4 linked regions of the Schizosaccharomyces pombe genome follow. The protein of the gene in region 1 purifies or fractionates together with the protein of each later gene. This does not show direct contact. Each region holds a gene or a part of one and is shown on either strand. Other genes may lie near its edges. The genes, in order: yth1, ysh1, cft1 and swd22.

Region 1 (4,579 bases):
GAATTTTATTGATCTTTTCTTCGATTTCTAAGGACTTGAGATAATCAAACTCGGGTTCATGACTTTGAAATTCAGTAAAAAACTTATACTCACAACCCTTTTTCGAATGATTTCGCTCAAAAAGAACGACTCTGCCACCTTTATCGCCGGTTGCTAGATAATCACCTGTGTGGTCGAATTCTACTGCTGAAATGATATCGGCTAAACTTGTTAGTCATTTATTCAGTGATTAAAGTAAAAGAGAACTCTTTTATGAGAGAACTACTCAAAACCAATACCTTCAGTGATGTCTTCCACATCACCCTTGTCACCAAAGCATCTAAAGAGTTAGTCATTAATTTTTTTCACACATCGTTTACATACTGGGCAAATTTCCACTGATCCAAAGAGTCTTCTATATCATCCATCTTCTACTCGTATTATATTAAGATTTCGTTCCCGTTGGTACACTTTGCCAATTTCAATTGTATACGAAGATCTTGATCTTCAAATTTCTAAGGGTATCTCTATACCGTCTTTGGATCTTTTTTCAAAAGTTTTGATACAAAGTTTCCCAGTTTTCACTGGCTTTTTTGGAGGGCTGCTGATTTTCCTAACTTGATGGTTCGTATCAAATGCTGCTACCCTAACGAATCTACACCACTCTTCGGCGAGTCAAAAGCTCAGTAAAATTTTTATCGGTAAATCAAGCCTTAAGCGACTTTAAGTTATTAATGGATTTTTGATAAATACAACACTATTTCATTACTTCAGTGTTCATCTTACGCTTTACTACACATAGGATTTTTTGCTCAACTTTACAAAGTCCAGTGTAAAACTTGTTGGCAATTTCCCATTAATGAAACCTTAATCATTTGTACGCTAAAGAAAGGTGTTTTTGATTATAAAAAACTAGAAGTTCATTGTCATATAAAAGATCCATATTGTTTTTATAGTTTGCAAAATTGAATACAGCAGATAAGTAAATTACAAAAAAATAAGAAACATAACTGGAAAGTAGCAAATATTTTACGAATAACGTATGAATGATTAAATGAATAAACCGTCCTTGATACATTACGATGGCGCTCTACGTAAGCGTTTTACATACTGGTAAACGATACTTAAGTTCCTAAATTTTCTTTTCCTTCTATGTTGCAAAAAACATATGTAAAAGGGAGACTTATTATTTAAAACTTATTTTTCGGTTTCTAAATACTTCTATTATCCCGATTATGTGTCGATTTGGTTCGCCGCAACCAAGACAAACCCAACGTCGATAATTAATTTTATTCCATAAAAAAAAATCTCAATAATCAATGTACGGCATCACTAATTGCATATACTCCATTGATAACTTGATTTCATTACCTAATATACAGTGACACATTAAAAAACGCATCCTTTACCAGTCTTTCCGCTTTTGAGGAGGATGCGGAGGTTCAGAGTGTTTAGGACTAGAACATGTTAGTAATAGAAAGAGAAAGTCAACACTATAATTCTTCAAAAAACTTACTGAGCATCTGGGCAATTAGGGCCTAGCGGACAAAACCCAGCTAAATATTTTGGGCAAGGCCTTGGTTTTCGTACATGTTTGCCTCGACATATAGGTCCTAAAGGACAAAATCCCATATTATACCAGGCACAGACACCAACTTGTTTACTGGGATCCAAATGGAGATATAAACACTCTTCGCCATTAGAACACCAGCCGCGCTCTGCATAAAAGTGACATGGAGGCATCTTTTTTAAATTGTACTCGTGTAAAAAATCACACTGTTCACCTTTTTTACAAAGTCCACGAAGCCTTATATAATATTAGTTATCATGAAGGTAGAAACAAAAACAAATAGAAAAATACATGAAATATATATTCATATTACTCTTCTTTATATATACATACCAATGCTTGCAAACCACGCTACCCATTTTCGATCCAGAATCGCGTCCATTTCCAGAGTTTAGCAAGGCAGACCTTCCGAAATTAAAATTTTGCTTTAAATAGTTATCAAAACGAAATTGAACTGAAGAAAAATCAGCTGCTATAGCTTTATCTTTGATATAATCAGTCATTTTGTAGTAACCAGTAGATGGCGGAGGCAACGTTGTTCAGTTGACTTGAATATCACAAATACTTTATTGACTGGCATTCACATACTATAAATGATGCTTATTAAACTAGAACGAATTAAATTATTCTTATAATATTCATGAAATCGCTATTGTTTTAAGGTTTTCTTCATAGGTATGTTTGAAACCTAAGTAAAGAATGATATTATGCAGCATACGAATAAAATAACTTTTATAAAACATATTCTTTTTATCTAAAATTTACCTCGTCAGAGACATAACTAATTGCTTCTGTTGAGAATTTTACTAACATACTAATTTGCAACAGAAAACGTATTATCTTCGCTTCCACATGCAAAACATATTCACATGACCAAGTACTTTTAAAGTTTTTACGAGCTTATAAAGGTAAAGAATCATTATTTTTTAATAATACAGCATTAAAATTCCTCCTTTACTATCGCTCACGTAGGATGCCTATTCAGCTAGGTCTTCAGCGTATGCTACAGCTCTTGAAGCACCTTGGCAATCCACAGGAATCGTTTTGTGCTGTACAAATTGCTGGGACTAATGGTAAAGGTAGCATTTGTAGCTATATATACACGAGTCTTTTGCAAGCTGCTATTAAAACAGGACGCTATACAAGTCCTCATTTCTTAGAGCCAAGAGATACCATAAGCATAAATGGTCAGATTGCTAGTGAAGAGATATTTAATACTTGTTGGAAGCAGGTGATTGAAGTGGATAGAAGATTTCGTACAAAAGCGACGGAATTTGAATTGTTAACTGCTACTGCGTTCCAATGTTTTCATCATTCAGGTGTTCGTGTGGCTGTAATTGAAACAGGAATGGGTGGTCGTTTGGATGCTACTAATGTATTTGAAGAACCAGTTCTTTCAATAATTTCACGTATTTGCTTGGACCATCAAGCATTTTTAGGAAATACCTTAGAGGCTATTGCTAAAGAAAAGGCTGGGATCTTTAAAAAGAATGTTCCGTGCGTGGTTGATGGGTTAAATGAAGTTAACGTCCTAAATCAATTAAAATTAAGTGCAGAGGAAACGAGGGCACATCCGTTTTATTTGGCAAAAGGAAAATCAGGTGAAAACAAAAATGAGTGGATCATCAATACTCCAAATTGGGGAACCAATACTTTTAGTACTCCATTGAAGGGGGATTATCAAGGACAAAATTTGGCTTGTGCAGTAACTGCTCTCGATATCCTTTCTTCGTCATTTTCAATTATGCTTCCCCATGTACAAAATGGTGTAAAAAATACATCTTGGCCTGGAAGGCTTGACATTCGTTCGGTTCCTTCTTTGGGTGATATTTTATTTGACGGAGCACACAATAAAGAAGCTGCGATTGAGCTTGCGAAATTTGTAAATTCGCAAAGACGTGAGCACAATAAATCAGTATCATGGGTAGTAGCTTTCACTAACACAAAAGACGTTACTGGGATTATGAAAATCCTTCTTCGTAAAGGAGATACCGTTATAGCGACAAATTTTTCTTCAGTAAGTGGGATGCCCTGGATTAAATCAATGGAACCTGAAGTTATAAAAAACAGTATATCTTCGGAATCTTCTGTGGAATGCTATACTGCAGATAATCTAACAATAAGCGAAATTTTAAGACTGGCAAAAGAGAAGAATTCCAGCGTAATTGTATGCGGTAGTCTTTATCTTCTAGGAGACATGTATCGTTATTTAAAACTGGACGTATAGCCTCTAAATCGTGCTGTTTACTTTCATACGTTTTTCCTTGTTTGACAAATTTATCATATGAATTGTCACAGAGTGATGAATTGTGCTCTAGAGAATTTTGTTCCATGACTTAAAAACTAAAATTTACTTTCAAAGAAGCTTGAATGATGCTATCAGGTTAATAGAAAAAAGATAAAAGATTTATATTAAGCTTTGATGGGTTTTTGGTGTGAGTTAAGATATTGAGTTAGAAATTGACTTATAGATTACGAATACATTAGTTTAAATACTTGGTGCGCTCTGCCTGCAGCCTTAATAAAACAGATATTATTTTCATTATGTGACTAGATCTTGATTTACAATTCTTACAAGATAAGGTGGGATAACTGAAGCATATTTAGCACATTGAAAGATTCCGCCTTTCTTTTAATTATTATTAAATACTGTCGTAACTGCAATAAAATAAGTAAAACGCTGAAATCGTTAAAAAAATATACCCTTCTATCTCACAGGTTGAGCTAATCAAGTTGATATACGTATAGTGCAAATGATAGGCATTTAAAAATTAGACTAATATAGTTTAACTATTACATTAATTTTAAAATACACAAACATTTAATTACTGTTTTAAAATTATACTCAGAGTCTAATTAATTACAGATTTACCGTAATCCATAGCGCTTGTTATCTATCATTACAGCAACAATGATTGCTACGCACTAAAATTCGTATACGTTTTAGATATAACATGTATAATCCACCAACATTTTTTGAGTATACAAAAAAGCAGAATGGCTGAACAACCTTCTCGGCAGCAGAGTATG
Region 2 (6,502 bases), 3.1 Mb from region 1:
AATAACTTATTCAATTTTTCATCAAGTTCTTTATCTAACGGGATAGTAGCAGATTCTTCGACACCAGCAACATGCTCAACCTGATCTTGCTCACGATATTTAAGTTTTAATTCAGCAGCAGCCTTTTCTATTTCATCAATATCATCATCAATGTTTTTGCTTGATTCAAGTCCCTCCAATTTCTCATTATCAGAAGATTGATTATCTAAATCACGCTTTCCAGTGACTTTCTTCTTCTTCTGCTGCTTTTTCTTTTTCTTTTTATTTTTTGCTTTCTTATTTGTAGAGACAATTGGAGACTCGCCTTCTACTAATGGTTCATCCTGCTCTTCCTCAGAAACACTTTTTTCTGCCTCTGAGTTAATAGCATTATTTTCTTTTTCGAGAATTTCGAACACGTTTACTACTTTTTTCCCGGAAGTTGAAGAAAACTCGTCATCCTCATCAGATTCACTGTCTAAAGCTTCTTCCAATAGCTCGGTTTGTCTTTGACGCTGAAGTTTCCGTAAAGCTCGTGAAGACATGAGAATGGTTTGTGGTAGACTAGAATGGCAGATGTAAGAATTTAACTCAGACCTATGAAAACACACCTCAATTTCAAGAACTTTTCGGTATGCTAAATTAATATATAACATACAGAAAATATTTCATTTTAAGACTGTTAGCAGTGAAGAATATTACGTTTCGTAGTTAAAAGGCGTTAAGGAAAATACAAGCCGGGAGCAACAATGATGTACAGAATATGTAATTAAAATCTAAGTAATAGAATTTTGCAATTGTGGGGTGGTAAACCGTTTTTACATATTTGTGGTTCATGGTTTATTGGAATTTTTGCTGATCGCAATAGGTTATCAGCCAAATGAAAATTAGAGGGGTTATTAATACAAAAAACTGTTAATGCAAATTTAGTATTAAAGTGAGAATAACGACCGTGTTACCTTTTTGTATGCCTATATTACCAGAATATATTATAAAGTAGTAAATAAATCAAATTAGTATTACCAGAGAAAGGAAAACATATTACTTTTTTAACATACGCCAATAATTCTTTTCTTCTTCTCCGGTAATTAGCTCAGCAATCAGGAATGGACGGCTAGATCCCTTTTTCCTATGTGCCCGAATATCATCATGACTGTTTTGTTTCCTTTCTTGTGTACGAAACGCGTTGATACACGTCTCAGCATGAAGCGGTGTTTTCCAACGTATTATCGCCTCTGTTTCGTCCTTCCTATAGTCTATATACATGGGCTCACATGCAATATTCTGAGTTTGCCGCGAAAAAACATAACTCAAGAGGCTGTGAATAGTAGATTTATTAGTTAAAGGATGGAGGTTCTTGATACGGGTCAAAAGATTCTTGGTAAAATCCAAATTATCTTCATCTTTATCAGTTTGTGAGGTTTTGGATACAGACTTGGTCATTTGTTTTTCTACTTTAGTAAGTTTGGGATAACGATTTTCAGGAAAGGAATTGGATGAATTTGAAACGTCTGAAGATGACGCTTTTACTAAATGGAGTTGATTTTCAAAATATTTTTCTTCACGATTTGTCCATTCTTTACGAGTCAACAGTACCCATCCAGGAGGGACAGGCAACTTGCTAAGTGCTGATTGATCAACCTTTTTGTACAAAATTACAAAAGCATAACCTTCAGGAGTACCGATAGCATCAACATAGGGAAGGAACTCTTTGAGGTATTTGCGAAGTTTCCCAGCCAAAAGTAAACTTTTATTAGACAGAGTAGCCGGAACTGGTTCAACGTAAATAATTCTATCATACAGTGGTATGTCAAGAGGAAGAACAATATTCTCATTTCTAATAACCATGTGTGAGGAATTATCGAAATGAAACAGCGCATTAGTAACATAAGATAAAGCATACTTCAAGTTATTTTGCGTTGGATTCGGGCGGATTCCTTTCCAGAAATCATCTTGCTGGATTAAAAAGGCCAAGTGCACTTTTTCTTTTTGCCTTTCTCGGTGAAAATAAATTTCTAATATAGAATCAACGGCTGATAAAAAGTCAGGATTTAACGGTTCAATAAGCTGTCTATCTTGTTGATTTAACATGAGTCCTCCGCTTATGGAATGACTTGGTTCTTTGCTGGCTTCATTATGTTTGTAATGCTCATCTTTCAATTTGTTGTTATTTCCATCTGCAATAGAATTATTTTCCTTCCCTGTAAATGCTTTAATTTTGCGAACATTCAGTTGCCTTGGCACAAACATTTTACTTCGCTCCTTAAAGTACGGTTTTCTAGTATCAATTAAAGTGAAGTCATTAATAATAAATAGAATTAGGTGCTCTTAATTAAAAAAAAAAGGGTTGTAAATTTTTGTTCTGCTTTCTCCCAATTTATGTTGAATGCGTAGGTGAAGAATAACTCGCGCTTGCCCAGCACCCACGACCTTGTCTTTCCAATTGTGGTTTTTAGACAAAAGCCCTTGGAAAGATGTCCAAAAGAAAGGAATTTGATGAAGATGCACCTGTAGACCCATCCGTAAGCCTTGAATTTACGATTTTTTATAAGGGCCTACTTTCTAACCAATGTCAGGATTTACTGGAGTTTATTAACTTGGGAGCCGGAAATGAAGTTGGTCGCAGTTGCCATGTTATTCAATACAAAGGGAAAACAGTAATGGTATTTTAATTTTTATTTTGTTATGATTGTGAATGCTAATTTTTGCTAGCTCGATGCCGGTGTTCACCCTGCGTATACTGGGCTTTCAGCTCTTCCTTTTTTTGATGAGTTTGATTTGAGCACTGTAGATGTACTTTTAATTAGCCAGTAAGTCCCTTTTGTACCACTACTTGAGACGACCATAGGTTATTAGATTAGAGTACTTCTTGTACCAATTACTATTATGGTCCCTTAGGCATTGATTCATTTTTTTTTGAAAAGTATTTCTAACTTAAGCAAGCTTCCATTTGGATCATGTAGCCTCGCTTCCCTATGTTATGCAAAAGACGAACTTTAGAGGTCGTGTCTTCATGACTCATCCTACAAAGGCAGTTTGCAAGTGGCTTTTATCTGACTACGTGAAAGTGAGGTATGTATTCTTAGCTCTGAGTATTCATTAACAACTCGCAGTAATGTAGGCATGGAAGATCAGCTTTACGATGAGAAAGATTTGTTAGCCGCTTTTGATAGAATCGAGGCTGTTGACTACCATTCAACTATAGAAGTTGAGGGTATAAAGTTTACACCCTATCATGCGGGCCATGTTTTGGGTGCCTGTATGTATTTTGTGGAAATGGCTGGAGTCAATATTTTATTTACAGGCGACTACTCACGAGAAGAAGATCGCCATTTGCATGTCGCTGAGGTTCCTCCTAAAAGACCAGATGTGCTGATCACAGAATCCACGTATGGTACAGCATCTCACCAACCAAGACTGGAGAAGGAGGCTAGACTGTTAAATATTATTCATTCCACTATTCGCAATGGAGGGAGAGTTTTGATGCCTGTCTTTGCTCTTGGAAGAGCTCAGGAGTTATTACTCATTCTCGATGAATATTGGAATAATCATCTCGATCTTCGCTCAGTCCCTATCTATTATGCATCATCGCTAGCGAGAAAGTGTATGGCCATTTTTCAAACTTATGTTAACATGATGAATGATAATATTCGAAAAATTTTTGCCGAACGAAATCCGTTCATCTTTCGTTTTGTCAAAAGTCTAAGAAATTTAGAAAAATTCGATGATATTGGCCCTTCTGTAATATTGGCAAGTCCTGGTATGCTACAAAATGGTGTTTCAAGAACCCTCTTAGAAAGATGGGCTCCTGACCCTCGAAATACGTTACTTCTTACTGGTTATTCTGTTGAAGGGACAATGGCAAAGCAAATTACAAATGAGCCTATTGAAATTGTGTCACTTTCAGGCCAAAAGATTCCTAGAAGAATGGCAGTGGAGGAACTTTCTTTTGCGGCTCATGTTGATTATCTTCAAAACAGTGAATTCATTGACCTGGTAAATGCCGATCACATTGTATGTTTAGTTACTAATGTAACGTTAAAATTAACTAATTATAGATTTTGGTGCATGGTGAGCAAACAAATATGGGTCGATTAAAAAGTGCTCTAGCCAGCAAATTTCACAATAGAAAAGTCGATGTCAAAGTATATACCCCTCGAAATTGCGTACCGTTATATCTTCCTTTCAAAGGGGAACGGTTAGTGAGAGCTTTGGGAAAGGTCGCTGTTCATAAACCAAAAGAAGGCGACATTATGAGTGGAATTTTAATTCAAAAGGATGCCAATTATAAATTGATGTCAGCTGAAGATCTTCGAGATTTCAGTGACCTTACTACCACCGTTTTAACCCAAAAACAAGTCATTCCATTTTTTTCGAGTATGGAGCTTGCAAATTTCCATTTAAAACAAATGTTTGGATATGTCAAACAGTCAAAAACAAAGGCAGGACAACCTCAATATACAGTAATGGACGCCATTACTTTGACTTTAATCCAAGAACATAAGCTTGCTCTTGAATGGGTTGGCAACATTATGAATGATACAATAGCTGATTCAGTAATTACTATTCTACTAGGCATTGAAAGCAGTCCTGCTTCTGTCAAGTGTAAGTCTGCGTTTAATGTGGAACAATTTCTAACCATTAATAGTGACGAGCCATAAATGTAACCATTTGCATTCGCATTTAGATAAGCCTCCAAAAGTATCAAAGGAGGAAGATCGTATTAAAAAGCTGATGATGTTTTTGGACAACCAATTTGGCGAAAGTATGACTAAAACGGAAAAGGGGGTTGAAATCAAATTTGAAAAATATGAAGCGTCTATTGATTTTTCGACTATGAAAGTTGAATGTTCAAATGAAGCGTTACGATCTAGAGTCGTACATGTTTTATCCCGTGCGATCAATACTATCCTTCCATTTTCTGAAGCTTCACAAAACGACGTCTCCGAAGATGATTTTGAAAATGAAGAATCTGACGATGATAAAATCTTTGAGCAGCAAACGAAAATAGAAGATGATGTTAAAAATGAAAATAAGACAGAACCAGTTGAAGAACAGAAAAGCGAAGAAAAGAATGAACAGCCCAACCTTAAGAAAGAAGAACTTTCTTGAAAATTATTTACGAACGAATCTTTGCCTTTCATAGCCATGACACTTTTATGGCTACCTTCATTTTTTGCTATTTAAGTCTCAGTAGTTATCATGCACTCTGGTATTTCTGTTAAAAAATGCTGTTTCTTAGTCATGCGTGATCGAATCTTTAATTTATTCTTGCCATTTACGTCAAAGACAAACAATTTAATAGCCATTCCAAAAAAATTGACTAGTACTTAAAAAAATGCTATAACTATTTAGATTTTTGTAAGGAAAACTTTTTTTGTAGCTATTATGAACTCCAAAGACACTACCAATCGGGTTAATTAAGCAAATTTTTGTACCGACTACCAACACCAACACCACAATGTCCAGCAATAAGCTGCCCACCTCTAAGTATGACTTGTCCACCTATTGGGGACGTGTTCGTGTATGTTATATTACTCTTTGTATTTATGCTAATGCGGCAGCACGCTATGGATATTACTGATCCAAGGTAATTATAATTTAACTACATGATCGTTTGAGCACCTAACATCTGTAGGACACTTCTCTCTACATCTCAAGATTTAAATAGCGCCGTCAAAACTCTGGAAGACTATGGAGCGGGTAAAATTGCACAATTAGATGAAACGGTTTGGCATGCAAAGAAAAGTATGTAGTTATACGATACAAATCCGATCAAATGTTATATTATTTGATTAGTTATTTTTTTTGTTATTAAATATATTTTCAAATTAAAAAAAAAAACATATTAACGATTTTAGTTGTTGATTCAACTTTGCATCCCGATACTAAGGAACCTGTTTTCTTACCATTCCGAATGTCATGCTTTGTCTTGGTAAGATAATACTATTTAGTGACTAAATGCTAATCATTAGACTAATTTGGTCGTCACAGCAGGTATGCTGCAACCAAACCTTGGTACCGCTGGAACCGTTTTTTGGCAGTGGATGAATCAATCTGTAAATGTAGCTTTTAATTCTGCAAATGCAAATAAATCTACGCAATTGACTCTTCCGCAGATGACTAAATCCTATATTTATGCTGTTAGTGCAAGTTGTGGTGTTGCTATTGGTCTCAACAAAATTGTGCCTCGTATGAACTTTCTTTCTTCTTCGTCCAAAGCGGTACTCGGAAGATTGACCCCTTTTGCTGCTGTTGCTTCAGCTGGTGTTTTAAATGTCTTTTTGATGCGCGGCGAAGAACTTCGTCAGGTATGAGTTTTAGCCTAAGTTTATTTATTCTGGGTACAAACCTATGTATTGAAGTTTCATACATTGGTTTTGTGTTTTTTCATTCTTTACTAATGTTTGTATAGGGTATCGACGTTTTCGATAAAGAGGGAGAATCTTTAGGAAAAAGCAAAAAGGCGGCGTTTTATGCTGTTGGAGAGACTGCTCTTTCCCGTGTAATCAACGCTTCACCA
Region 3 (8,278 bases), on another chromosome or scaffold:
CATCACAAAGAGATATTAAATCTGGCGTAATTGAGATTATATTACCTTTTTCAAAGCTGATTTCAAACCGCTATCAAGCAAATTGATGGCATTTTTAAAAGCTGTTTGCATTTCCGCTTCTGCTTTATAACAATCATCGGACGTCCAAGCTTTACTTTTCTTATTTTTTGCAATCTCTTTTTTTAATTCAGTTCGCATTGCAGACAGCTGTTCTCGACTATCTTTTGCGTATCCTTCTAATACTTTGGCCAACTGCTGCCGACTTTCTAAAGTGGTTCGTTGTGGCTTCACCTCAATTGTTGATGCATTCAGCTTATTAGCTACAAACGGGTATCTGCTATCTTCAATTGCTTTTAGGATGTTTTTTATGTCAACGTCTTCAAATGGACGAATAATAATTTGCTGAGAACCTTTCTGACTAACAGCTGCAATTTCTCGAAGCAGACGACTAGGAGTAGGAGCTTTTATGCTTTTGGATGGTATGAAAAGTGCTTCTAGTTGAGTGAAATTTCCTTGACTCGGTAAAACAACTGCCTCTTGAAATCGTTTAGCCAACTTTTCGTGAACCAATTGCATTTTTGCTTCAAAGCTTTTCAACATTTTATTAAATGAATTAGCAAATTCTGGATCGTGATCATGCTTAACATCTTTATCCTTAGCTTTTTTATGCAAAATTCCACCATTATGAAATGCACATCTGGGCGACAGTATAGAAGTGTGGAACCGTTGTGAATCTTGAAACAACGTTGCTTTGCTAATAATCCGAAACATTAAAAAAAGAGAGACTGATGGATATGAGAAAAGCAATGACTAACTGATTCTTTTCACCAATTTACTACGTGATGCAGATTTACCTTATGCGTATTTGAATAACGGAGATGAAGGTATTGAAATATACAGGACAATACATTGCACTGTGTTATTAGCTACACGGTATGTTAAGGTCTTTTTATGAATACCAAATTACTACGTTGATTTTTCATGCTATCCATATATAATATTATGTAGGTGCGTTTACTGTAATACTTATTGATGTCTTATGTAAATAAAATATTGTATAGTATAATAATTTCGATGAAATAACCTAGCTTAATTAAATGATGCACGTATGTTCAATTGATCTATTTTATTAATAATTTTGATCATTTATACAAGTTAACAATTTTGTTTGTATATACACGATAATTGTCAGAATTATCGCATATTGCTATCCTGGGAGATAAACACATAGAGGAATAATAATAGGTAATGAAATGCATAAAAGCGTTTGCTAACCTATTCACAGGTTGAATGAAATTGAAAATTCCCAAGCCGTTGACCGTATATGAATTTGGTATTTATATATAAGGATCCTAGCCTGTAAAAATGATCAGTGGTTAACATACCTTGTACTCATCATATCCTTGTCAACAAACATGTATATACAAAGTATAGGATGCTTTTATACTAATGTTAAGTAAATTACTCTTTTACCAAATCATATGGTACGTCAATCTTCGCGAGAAAATGAGCTTCAAACACTAATAATGAAAGCATCCTTTTACAATATTTGCATTATTACTTTTGCCATCATTTATGTTGTTTTTGTTAAGTGCATCCTGCTATAGATCATGGTATCCTTTAGTTTCAAAAATATGCAAAAAAAATTTTTAAATAACTACGCCCAATTACATATAACTTAAAGCTTCATCCAACTCTACCAGATCATTCATAATAGTGGATACTGGAACACCACATTTATGAGCCATCTCATGTCGATGAGCAACTGACATATATGTAAAGTAATCGATGAGCATACCATCGAGAATTCGTCGAGTTGGATTAGTCAAGTTGGATGGGGAGGTGATGAGACGATAGGACTTGGGATTTAGGCCGCCTATCGTATTAACACGGTTGGCAAGGTAGTTCTGGATAATGTTCAAACGACGATACACCCGATCAGAAATCGGAACCAGCATTTGAAGTCCACCATCACTATTTACCATTACACAAGAGAAGTCATCTCCCGTATCATAACCATACTCGGCATTTTGATGCTTTTTTTCTTTTGGCAATATCGTCATAGCAGTAATTACATTTCCTATATGGAAATCTCCACGTGTTACAAGTCTTTCACCAGAATGAGATTCGGGATTTTCAGGATCATATGCAAGTAATCTTAAGTTTCCAGATGTATCGGCCACTACAAAGTATAAATTCTCACCTTGCACAAGAAAATCTGCAGCAGATACGTTGAGCGCTTCTTGACCTTTAGAAAATAAAGTCATTCTGTATGGCTCTTCGGCAAAACCGACAAACGTTACGTTTTGTCGGACATCGCCAAACAATAACAAATTTCGCAAACATTTAGCAGACAATGTATAACTCCCAAGGTCAATAAAAGAAACGCCAACCAAATGGTCTTCGTCTTCCAAAGCACGTACAATTACTTTTTGGCCTTGACCACTCAACAAATACCCATCAACTTCGCATACCACCGCGACTGTACCCTTAATTTCCTCTCTAGTCACTAATTTCAATTTATGACGAGTTTCTGGTCGCCCGGGTTGAGGCACGACATCAATAATTTCAAATAAATATGTAGATCCGCGAACAGCAATATCTTCACCTTTGGTGATAGAGGTCCCTACAGCGATATATGGCTTCCTCAGTTTAGTTGTTTCAGAAACTTCAAGGTTAACCAAAGCAACCGATAAGGGAATCTCAAATTGTTGAAATTCATAACTATCTATAACAGTCCACGTTAAGGGGGAAACAAGGTCAAGCGAACCGGTGTTGGCCATTGGAAGATAATCATTGTCATCAGTAATCGCATAAGGCTCGTTTCCATCCTCGTCAGTTACTTTAAACTCAATCGGTACGGCACTTCCAACAGCATAAACCATTTTTGTAGGATGATAGGCTATTCCATTGATTTGTTTTCCTAAAGAAACTTTCTTGTAAGGCCATTTATTGTCGTATTCAAAATCTTCTTGAAATTTGCAAATGCGAATAAATGAGTTTTCATCTACATATATATAACCCTGTGGCGCATGGTGTGCATGAAAAGGTGCAACAGATAAAATTGGTATGTTGGAGGATATAGGAAAGAACTTGGCATTTGAGTGAAGAGTACTCAAAATTAAAAAGGGTTTCCGCCCAGTTACAAAAACTGCGGAGTGATTGCCTACTACTTCTAAAGCTGTCATTTTTAAATGATCAACAGAGCTTGAAGCCTTTTTCTCCATTGTAGATTCTGCATCTCTGGGAGTCCCAACATTTGCTTGGAATTCCCTTGTCATTGTTTCTTGTGGTACTTTAGCAAAAGCTAACAAATTTTTATGCTTATCAGTGTTAGAATATAAGAATGCTTTGTAGACTGTAATCTCGTTTAGTCTTGACCTGAGAAATAAATGTGGCTCCTTGAAATCATCACCTAAATCTGCTACAAGTAATTCAACAAGTTCTTGACTGGATTCTTTGTTAAAATAGGTCCTCTCTGATTCCATCCCATTAAATAATGTAGGTGGTAAATCGAAAACATCGCACTCCATTAAAAGGGAAAAATCTGCCAAGTTGTAAACTTTTAATTTACCTTCATCAGTCAAAGCAAATAATATTGGATGTTTTTCCAGAGACTCCTGATCTAAATTACTAACATTTTTTTCAGTGACGATGGTGTTGTCAACCTCAGGAACATCATCAGCACTTACTGACTGATCATACCCCATTTGATCATTATTACTTGTTTTATGGTTAGGTTGAATATCCAAATCTGTCTCAGAAGCTGAATCATTCATTCCATTGGCTATTTGACCCTTGGCGTTAAGGGTTTCGTTATAGGTAAAAAGCTTTGCAAAAAGTGCAGAACTATCAGGGGAAACTAAAGAAGCTGTCTTAACATCCGAAAGTCTATTTTGTAAATCCGTTTTGATCAGCCTTTGGGATTTTAAATCCATTTTGTAAAGAGCGATTCCACCACCCAAAAAGACAACGATTATACAAGGATCACAAATGCTTGTTGAGACGACTATTTGTTTTTTGCTAAAATTAAAAAGTTGAGTAAGACGTAAATTTGAGTCGTATACACGCAGGCTAGTAGGACATATCTGAACCATACGCATACCGGAAAGCAAAGAGCCGACATTAAGTGTCTTCGAGTCCTTAGAAAAGTCAGAATGCTGTACCTCATCAAAGGTTTCACCTGCCAAAAATATAAACGACTCCTTCTCTTTAGAAAGTACAAGATAAGTTTCTAACTCGGGATTTGAGTATTGAGCTTGTATTCTGCTTTTCATATTTCGTAGCTTTCCTGAAATACTAACGGTCCATAGTGCTTCACAGCCGTCAAATTGAAATTCACCGGCTATTAATGGAAATATGTTTCGCCGAAAAACAACAAGACCGCCAGCACCGTCAGCTCCTGCTGTACCTACCAATTCCAGAGGTCCATGGTTGTCTTGAGGGAAATAGGAGTACGATCCTGCCTTTCCAACGGCAAAGTCAGTAATTGGACCAATATTTGTCAATACATCACATATTTCTAGACGTAGCGGGCCGTTTTCATAAGCAATCTTCCTTTTAGAACCCACGGATTCATCTGTTTCATAAATATCAAGCATATCATCCATTTCAGCATCGTTCGTTCCATAAAGAGTATCGTCTCCTTCATCCAATCTTACCTCCTCATTAGTAGTACGCCGAGACCAACGAAGCAAATAACTGTCAGTAGTCTGGCTACCTAAGAAAACAAGATTTTCGCCAGCAGGCACTGCACAAGTGATTCCTGATTTAAGAAAGTCATCATTAATTTCTAAATCCAAAGCTTGTAATGACAGTCCTTTGACTGATTTACCATCAAGTAAAAAATCTAGATAAAAAAATTGACCGGACGTGTGCACCAATACGACAAAGGGAGTTTCAGTCTTACTACTTGTTAAGGGAATGGCAATAGTCCCCTCTAGTTCCAGGTTAAAATCAGACTGGTCTTGAAGTGGGAAATCAGTACACTTTGAGTAGTAAGAATTTACGCCGATACCGACAGTCCGGCCAGCGGAATCAACATATATAAGCTCATTTCCACCCAACAATAAAGAACCTCCAAGAGGCGTAGGTATTGAAACCGATGCGTAGATATCGTAGGGAAGTGATTGAATGGTAGTAATAACGGCACTAGCGCGTTGCTCTAAGTCTAAAGTTACCAATGAAAAGAGAACGGTATCCTTTCTTAATGGTAAAGTAACGGTAGAAGTCTGTTCGGGACTATATAGAATGGCTAGTGTAGGCTCGCGATATCCGTATAGAAATTTAACGTCAAGAATTCGTGAAATACTAGCATCCAGTTGAGAAGAAGCTAAGACAAAGGAGGGTTTGTAGGCATAAGATGAAGAAATTTTAGAATTTTCTATAGCAGCCTCTTCCATATCCAAATCTTCGTTAGCTGGATATGGAATAATAGCCATCATATCAGTTAAAAATCGTAATAGGCAACAGTCGGAATCCGGATCCACCAAGAGCTGTGTAGGGGTATGAGAGGAGCATATATTTGAAGATTTGACATCTTCATAATAGTGAAGACTATTAGTTACGAAGCTCTGACTTTGCATATCCCATTCCAACGTAGATACTTTTGCATAGTCGGTAAGCATAATTAACAAATCACACCCATTACTTCCCTTTCCCTTCAAAGCCGATATTTCCGTTATAGTCCCGAAGACTTTAACTTGAGAAACGAGTCTAAGAACGTAGGTAGTTTGTTCATTGGTACGTATGAGATGCATATTTGTCTCCATGAACGCCTGACTTTCATCGATTATGCTGGTGGAGAATTCATTCTGCAAGGAATCATCTAATGGGAAACTGGATTCATCTTTTTGAATCTTTTCAATCTCAAAAAGGTGTAAAGAATTCACTTTACTTACCACTAGGTTATTAGATACAAGAGAAGTAAATTGGCCTTGGACAGCATTTTTTATAACTGTAGAGTCCACTAGGTCTTGAAATATGGTTGACATAAAGCAAATACCACATTAAATGTGCCTTTCAACTGGGACGTTGAGCTTCTGGAAAGGATGAGGTAGAGTAAGGAGTTGGACGCGTCCAAATACAGTGTACAAAATCTACAAGTAGGTTTTAAAAGCAATTCATTTTAAATAACTAGTAATTTACATAATAATAATACAATCCTTTTTACTTATGAAAAAGGAACCGCTTGACAAGGAAAGTCTGAAGCGTGTAATACCATAAGTCTTATTTGTTCAGGTTCGCGAACATAGGATCCGAGTGCCACAAGGACTTTCTTTTTATCCCTATTATTATTGTTCAGTAAGTAAAATAGCACATTACAATTACAGTAGTTGACATACTCTTTATGGCACCTTAGATACAAAAATTTTGATTGTCGATGCAAAAAATCAATAGGAATTGCAGACCCAAATATTCCAAATGACTGATTTAGAGCTAATGTGATGAGATGTCGTAAAGAAATATCGTCTATTTCATCTATAGGGGTAGTACCTCCAACCCTAAGTATGTCAGTGAAACAAATTATCCCAGACTTCCTTACACTTCAAGTATTATATATGACCATTCGCTTTTTAAACGTTGATGAAGTACCATGGCCTCTTTTTAACTCAAAAGGAAGGCAGATCGTGTCTGGTGAAAGTTGTATAGAGAAGTAAACTTCTGAGTAAGTACGATACCAACACGTTTAAGGATGCATTTGCTGCAGTTCCTGTGGAATCTACAAGCTCGTAATTATCATACTAAAATTATCGTACCATCACATAAACTGTTATGTGAAGGCTAATCTTCGAATAATTGAGGTACTGTTTAATTATGTTTCCTGTTTTCATGCCTGTAGAAAGCAAACAGCTGAACAAAATGAGGAAGCCTTCAATTCGAAGTGTAATATTAGAAAAATTTAATAACTTGAATTATTGCTATTTTTCATAATTTAATTTTGCTGGTTGATAAAATATATCCAGATACACAATTTACGAAATGCGGTCTTATAGCTAGCATGAGACAAAGACGGCAACTCGCGGAATTCTTCATATAAACTTTTCCGAGTCCGAGGTTCTAATAAATTCGTATGTTTGTATTAACTAAATTGAGACATAAACTATATTCCAGACTTGGTTAAAATCCCCTTATCTATTCATTTTGTCAAGATATCTATACCGATTGTAGCAAAATTTGATAAAAGCAATTTTCAAAATGTTTTACTGAGAATGCAATGAATCAGGGATTGTTCTTTCATAACTCCCCTCGTCTCGTGCACTTTAAAATTAACTGGTACTCCAGATTTTTATCAAGGCCTCCGCGCAAGAGAATATGTAAATGTTTCCCTTTACGAAACCAGCTTCTTTTTCCATTCCTGGTAAAGTTTTGTCATATATTCTAAAGCTTTCTCTTGCTCTGAAGGCAAAATTAATTCCACAGGAGTAGAGAGGACTCTTTCATGACCAAAACGAGTCACGGCTGCTCCCCACTTGATAGATTGATCTTCTTTGGTAGCATGTAAAGCAGTCCAAAGAAAAGCAAAAGCAGCAACGTATGGAGAAATTGTATGCCAAGGACTTCCAAGTAAGCGACAAATATAGAAACCGAGCTTTGCACACATAACCAATATAGGACCGAGGAAAGTTTCATACATGTTAGTAGTACATAGTCCGGGATGGACAAGGTATTGTTCAAAAGGGAGTCCCTTTTCAAGTTCTGCATAGTGTAACACATCTAACAAACGCTTTGAAGATTGATAGGGTTGCTCGCCGTGAAAACATTGTAGGTCTTCAAAATCAAGGGATTTTTTTTCTGCTACTAAACTGCTTGTAAGGACTACCTTTGTTGACGAACGGAGCACTTTTAGTTCGGCCAGGCGATTTTTCTTATGTAAATTAGTACTAACATACGGAATTAAGGTGAAAAAACTTACCAAATAAAAATGACCAAAAACATTACTTTCAAATATGTAACCGAGGGAGTCATTGCTCACACGTCCAGCAGTCTCTTTGTAAAAGGTTGGATGCGTCAGTGCCTGGATAGGGTTGATCAAAGTAGAAAAGATAGCCTTTAGCCATTGAATACCTTCCAGGTCCCAAGCACCAGCATTTAGGTAAACAAAATCTAATTTAGGGAATCTAGTAGCGATATCTTGCACCGCAGCTTCCACTGATGCCATATTCGACAAGTCTAACAAAACGTATTCCAACCGTATTTTCCTATCGGGAAAGAATTCTTTCAATCTTCTACAGGCATCTTCTGCCTTTTCACGACTCCTGCATGTAAGAATTACCGT
Region 4 (5,153 bases), 1.2 Mb from region 1:
CGATTTCGAAACGCTTCAGGTTCCCTGGTATTCAGAGCTCAATTATGGCTTACACCATTTCAGTAACGTACGAACTTTATCCTGGTGCCGTACCTCAAAAAGAATTTACCCCTATGTTAAAGCAAAGTATTGAATCTCCATTTGAAACAAAATATCATGTGAATATGTCAAATACAGAACTTTCTGTTCACGGGATATCCCCATTTATGGAATTTTTTGGTAAGGAATCAGAAAAATCTTTAACTCTCGAATTCTTTTTGAATCCTGCTATCTATAAGTCGGTTTATGTTTCAATACAGCCAAGTTATTACAGGAGCGCTGGGCGTCTGCTCATGCGTTACAGAACATTACTTGCTTCCTTTCCTGTGGTTGTAATTAGTTTGGCAGCTTACAATCAGTTTAGGTATTTTCATTACGGTTCTGCATACTTGAGTATGTCGGCTGCACTTGAAGTCATGATTCGCAAAGGACTTATCAAACTCCTTTTTTTAGTTTCGATCTTGTCAATTGCATTTTCATATTTAATTAGCAGAGTAGAGTTGATTGTTGCCGATGGTGCTGACCCTGTCGCCTCTTGGAAAATATTCGCAATGATGGTTCCAAAATCTTTCTGGAAACAAAATCATTTACTTTTTGGACTACAGACTGCTCAATTTTGGTTCCTCGCCCCGCTGTTAACTTTAATGTTTGTTGGCTTAGTTATAACAGCCAGTGTTATTATACTCTGTGTCATGCATTTATTAGCATTCATATATGGTATCTACTTGCGTTATAAAGGTTTGACTTTTACTGGTGTATGCCAAGCTGTGAAGTTCTCCTTTCAATGTCTGAGAACAAGAAATACTAGAAAATTGGATCATGGAGAATTTAAAAAACTTTCGAGTTTTCTATCTCAGAGAAATATGTATTATGCAAACCCTTCTCTCTGTTACGTATATGGAAAGAAGCATATGCAAGCTCGGATAATTGGCATCATGTTATTGTTGCTCATGGCAATGACGGTGGTACCCTTTCAACTTGTTTATGGTGTTGCTTTATGTACCCAGACAGTAACTACTGCTAAAGCTTTACACTTGGCCCGATTTTGCACCAAGTCAAGCCATTACCGAAAAAAATTGTGGGATTTCTACAATTTCTCTTGCACGATAACAATACTGATGTTACTCTTAGCTCCTTTGGACTTTCCTGTTCTCATTGTTTGGGCTAGAAATCTTTCCATGCATTGGTCTATTCCTTTCCCCACACATCATAATTTCTTCTCAATTATCCCTTTTATATTACTCACCGAAATTTTACGAACAGGAAAGATGCTACCTCGTTTGAACGACGTGGAGTACTACATAAATAACGTTTTTTTGTTTCTTCTGTCTTTCTATTCATTGATATATGGAGCTGAAAAACCATACCTCATTCACAATGTAGTTGGGTTATACTTTTTTTGGCTTTTATTTTTGTATGCCAAGAATGGTTTTTTTGTACAAAACATTTCGAAATGGCCGATCATTCCTAGAATGAAGTATTTTATTAAGCACAAATTTTTGCGATCTATTTCTTAATGGAAACTTGTAACAATATTATTTAATTCTTTTCTCTTTTTTCTTTATTCTCTCTTTTATATTACATTATTTCCTTTATTTTCACACTGTTGAACACTTATCATACTTTAATTTTCAAGATAGAACTTCGTTTTTATTTGGTAGACATTCGTTCATTGAATTTTATTTCTATTTATTACCTTGAATAATATCTCTTTACAAAGTTTATTGGTTTATCAAAGACTGAATAACTCACATTAGCATGATGGAAATAGAAAAAGATGAATTAATATATGAGCTGTCATCAACAGTTAAGAGATATTTTTTGATTTTTGTAGACCAACACTAAAGGTACTGGCCTTTCTTCCGTACGTGATAATGGCTGTAATAGTTCAAATAAGGAAACATAATTCACTTGGGAAAATTCCTGAGATAAAGGCACAATATTAGCGGTTGGCGAAGGAAGCTTGTAAATCTGGCGCACACTCAGGTCGGGAAAAATAGCCAAAGCTTGGTGATTCCAAACAAATTGAAACATGTAGCTATGAAATCCGTCAACATATATGCGGCATAAGGCAAGAGGTCTGTTGCTGATGGACAAAGTCTTCAGTGAGGATGATGTGAAAGAACCCAAACAAGCCAAAATCCCAAGAGTATCTGTTGGATAAGATGACAAAGAGCCTTCAAGCTCTCTAACAAATCTGGGCCCTATTGATCCCTTGTTAGATTTGCAGGATACGACAACTTTGGTGGGCTCAAACAACACATTTTTAATCGAAAATTGGCCCACCAAATCCACCCCACCATCGCCCTTTCCACCACATCTTTCAAGCTGAAAACTGTGTTGCTTTAGCACATACTGTACCAAGTATTCAAACAAGGTTCCTTGGGCAACAGTATTCGACGTTGAAGGCTTCTGAACACTCAAATGTTCTAAATAGGAAACAAGATTGTTGTGTGTGACAGACAAGTTTCTAAGGCCTAAAAGGCCTCTGTTCATGAATGAAAAATTTCTACACCGATTGAACCCTGACTTTAAAATCCACATCACGCTAGACAGAATGCGAAAGACTTAAACAGTATAAAGTTCAGGATAAGAAATGAATTATGCAAATATTCATTCCCTTCTAATTCGAATAACAACGACTGAGGATCGAAAGTAGTTATTTAAATAATTTTTGCTGAATTTTAGAAGTTCGTGAATCACGCCGTTCCTTAGTAATTTTAATTAATCTGTTAACGGTTTGCAAAAGCAAATTCGCGATATCTAAGAAAAATTTATTCAGAAAATAACAAAAATACAGAGCTTTGAGGATTACAAGCAAGCGACAAAATAATTGAAACTGGTTCTGCTGTATTTCATGGAATGATCCAGCTTCCTTGGTAGCTTTGTTTATAAGTTTTCCTTAATAAAAATTTACTCTTAAATTATATTTGATAATATGAAAGTTTTGATAACATCACGCCTCCATTTCCACAATATCAAGCCTTCAGACTCTTTTATTAATCAAGTGTATTTTTGGTGGAGAAATTAATAGCCTGTTAATTTTCAACTTCACTATTCTTTTTAAAAGTTTTCGAATTGTAATTTAAAACTGTATACTAAAACGTGCTACAGTTCGTTAAACACGTTGTCTGGCACTACTCTAATTTTGTGGAATCACAAGTAAACAAATGCAAGCAAGGGCTTAGCAAAGTAGAAAGGCCCTTAAGGGGATATAAAAGGAAATTCAAAGAGAATTTATATATTTTATTTAATTCTCAATGGATATCGGCATACTTTCGAGTTTAAAGCCTGCACAGTCGTTTCGTGATAACTCATTAGGAAGCTTCATTAATAGCATTGATTACAGTGATTCTGGAGAGTATGTTGCAACGACATGTTCTGCCGATGACACAGTCCAAATATATGATGCTTTAGATCCGAAGCAAGTCCATACAATAACTTGTTTCGAAACCGGCATAGAAGTTGCTCGTTTTACACACCACGATCATAATCTACTTTTGTCTACCACAAAGGGGAATAAGGATATTCAATATGTTTCAATTTATGACAACAAAAGAATATCGTACTTCAGTGGGCACACGGACATCGTTTCATCCATTGAGGTTTCTCCTATTGAAGACCAATTCGTTAGTACGGCAAACGACAAAACCTTGAAGCTTTGGAAAATGAATCAATCCTCGAGATGCCTTGGAAATTTAGATCTCCCATCCCTTGGAATTCCCGCTTATGATCCCACAGGTCTTGTTTTTGCGGTTGCATGTCATTCACTGTCACGTATCTTTCTTTACGACGTGCGGAATTATGGTTCTGATCCGTTTTCAACATTCACAATAGATGACTCTCGTTACTTATCAAGGTTTTCGTTTCCCCCCATGATGCCTGAGTGGAAACATATGGAGTTTTCCAACGATGGAAAATGTATACTTCTCTCAACTAGAGCTAATGTTCACTATATACTTGATGCATTCAGCGGGGATGTTTTATCTAGATTAGAGGACTTCCAAGAATTGCCGTTCTCCAACAATTTTCACGGCGGCTCAACCACTTTTGTACCTCAAGGTAATTTTGTCATAGGATCTGCTGACGACCGTACCCTGAATGTATGGAATTTAAGACATACCTTTCACCATAAAGGAAAAACAAGACCTCCTGAACATCGTATTGTTTCTCAGTCTATAATTAATCCAGGTCTTGTTAAGTATAATCCTAGGTATGATCAACTTTTGACTGCAGGGTCCCAACTCGTTTTTTGGCTTCCCGAAAAATATGCCTTAACATCATGATTATACTGCTAAAGCATACCGTAATCTTCTCCCAGGTTTTAATTATTATATAATCTTATTTATGTCTTCAACAACTACCTATACGTAAACCTGAGGAACCTGTCATTTCAACAAATGAACTAAAAATTTTTAAAATATAAAATCCTCATAAATCTTTAATTGATTTTTCATATTTCCCGATCTTAATTTTCTTCATGCAATGTTAGAATTTTTACTAATACCCTTTTTATTAAAGGATTCGCTAGAATTCATTGATATATGAATATCAAGAAATCAAACTTTGCGATAAGCAAAATAATGTTAATACTATTCTATCTTTTGACATATACCATGTTGACATTGTATAACGCATACGTATGCATGTAAATGACTCCTAGATATATCTGTTTTCTTATTCCTTCAATCCACTGTAATTAAAAAAAAAGATTAAATTAAAGAAATCCCAGGTAAACGGGAAAGCGAATTGTTTAGGTGCTTGACATAGTGAGATGACTCTTACCAGTTGCTTTAAGTGTGATCGGGGATACCACTGTTCGTCACAATACTCACGTGTAATATACATTGAACTACATTTATAGAAGTTGCTTCACCTTTTTAGCATTTTCTAAATAAAATAGAAATGGAGCCTTCAATAAAGTATCCCATCTATGGTATGCCGTTCAGTTGCATAGTTATACTAATTTACGAAAGAATGGGAACTTTTACAAGACACTTATTACCAAAAGGTACGTCAGAATGGAATTTGTAACAGAGTTAAAAACTAATGTAACTAGTCAGCTATTGGAAAGGCGGAATGGGAATATATAGATCCTGTTGACTTTATGTTTG

The links.
Region 2: the proteins of yth1 (region 1) and ysh1 purify together in Schizosaccharomyces pombe (affinity purification with mass spectrometry; 2 studies listed by BioGRID). This does not show direct contact.
Region 3: the proteins of yth1 (region 1) and cft1 purify together in Schizosaccharomyces pombe (affinity purification with mass spectrometry; 2 studies listed by BioGRID). This does not show direct contact.
Region 4: the proteins of yth1 (region 1) and swd22 purify together in Schizosaccharomyces pombe (affinity purification with mass spectrometry; 2 studies listed by BioGRID). This does not show direct contact.

Annotation. Positions count from the first base shown.
Region 1 is NC_003424.3:509,285-513,863, forward strand, and holds yth1 (cleavage and polyadenylation specificity factor complex subunit Yth1), read right to left. Parts: upstream 2,081-4,579; 5' UTR 2,053-2,080; coding exon 1,883-2,052; exon of another isoform or gene 1,787-1,882; coding exon 1,496-1,786; exon of another isoform or gene 1,437-1,495; coding exon 1,385-1,436; 3' UTR 1,126-1,384; downstream 1-1,125. Other genes in the region: serine/threonine protein phosphatase PP2A regulatory subunit B-55 Pab1, read right to left, coding at 1-201, 279-319, 364-407; fol3 (folylpolyglutamate synthase), read left to right, coding at 2,523-3,776; pfd2 (prefoldin subunit 2), read left to right, coding at 4,547-4,574. UniProt on the Schizosaccharomyces pombe protein: Component of the cleavage factor I (CF I) involved in pre-mRNA 3'-end processing.
Region 2 is NC_003424.3:3,619,596-3,626,097, reverse strand, and holds ysh1 (cleavage and polyadenylation specificity factor complex endoribonuclease subunit Ysh1), read left to right. Parts: upstream 1-2,387; 5' UTR 2,388-2,453; coding exon 2,454-2,501; intron 2,502-2,555; coding exon 2,556-2,642; intron 2,643-2,688; exon of another isoform or gene 2,689-2,691; coding exon 2,692-2,789; exon of another isoform or gene 2,790-2,922; coding exon 2,923-3,051; exon of another isoform or gene 3,052-3,092; coding exon 3,093-3,993; exon of another isoform or gene 3,994-4,037; coding exon 4,038-4,584; exon of another isoform or gene 4,585-4,627; coding exon 4,628-5,091; 3' UTR 5,092-5,337; downstream 5,338-6,502. Other genes in the region: protein Rqc1, read right to left, coding at 1-524; pof8 (LARP7 family RNA-binding protein Pof8/Lar7), read right to left, coding at 1,021-2,229; sideroflexin Fsf1, read left to right, coding at 5,441-5,503, 5,544-5,569, 5,618-5,727, 5,841-5,914, 5,955-6,290, 6,395-6,502. UniProt on the Schizosaccharomyces pombe protein: Component of the cleavage factor I (CF I) involved in pre-mRNA 3'-end processing.
Region 3 is NC_003423.3:1,111,054-1,119,331, reverse strand, and holds cft1 (mRNA processing protein Cft1), read right to left. Parts: upstream 6,063-8,278; 5' UTR 5,994-6,062; coding exon 1,668-5,993; 3' UTR 1,104-1,667; downstream 1-1,103. Other genes in the region: translation termination factor Rrf1, read right to left, coding at 37-771; RNase P and RNase MRP subunit Pop8, read right to left, coding at 6,173-6,287, 6,345-6,503, 6,545-6,597; erg27 (3-keto sterol reductase), read right to left, coding at 7,331-7,867, 7,916-8,278. UniProt on the Schizosaccharomyces pombe protein: RNA-binding component of the cleavage and polyadenylation factor (CPF) complex, which plays a key role in polyadenylation-dependent pre-mRNA 3'-end formation and cooperates with cleavage factors including the CFIA complex and NAB4/CFIB.
Region 4 is NC_003424.3:1,687,063-1,692,215, forward strand, and holds swd22 (Set1C-histone-H3K4 methyltransferase complex subunit Swd2), read left to right. Parts: upstream 1-3,203; 5' UTR 3,204-3,299; coding exon 3,300-4,325; 3' UTR 4,326-4,653; downstream 4,654-5,153. Other genes in the region: bst1 (GPI inositol deacylase), read left to right, coding at 1-1,556; SPOM_SPAC824.03C (uncharacterized protein), read right to left, coding at 1,840-2,583; HOPS complex subunit Vps16, read left to right, coding at 4,945-4,975, 5,016-5,050, 5,099-5,153.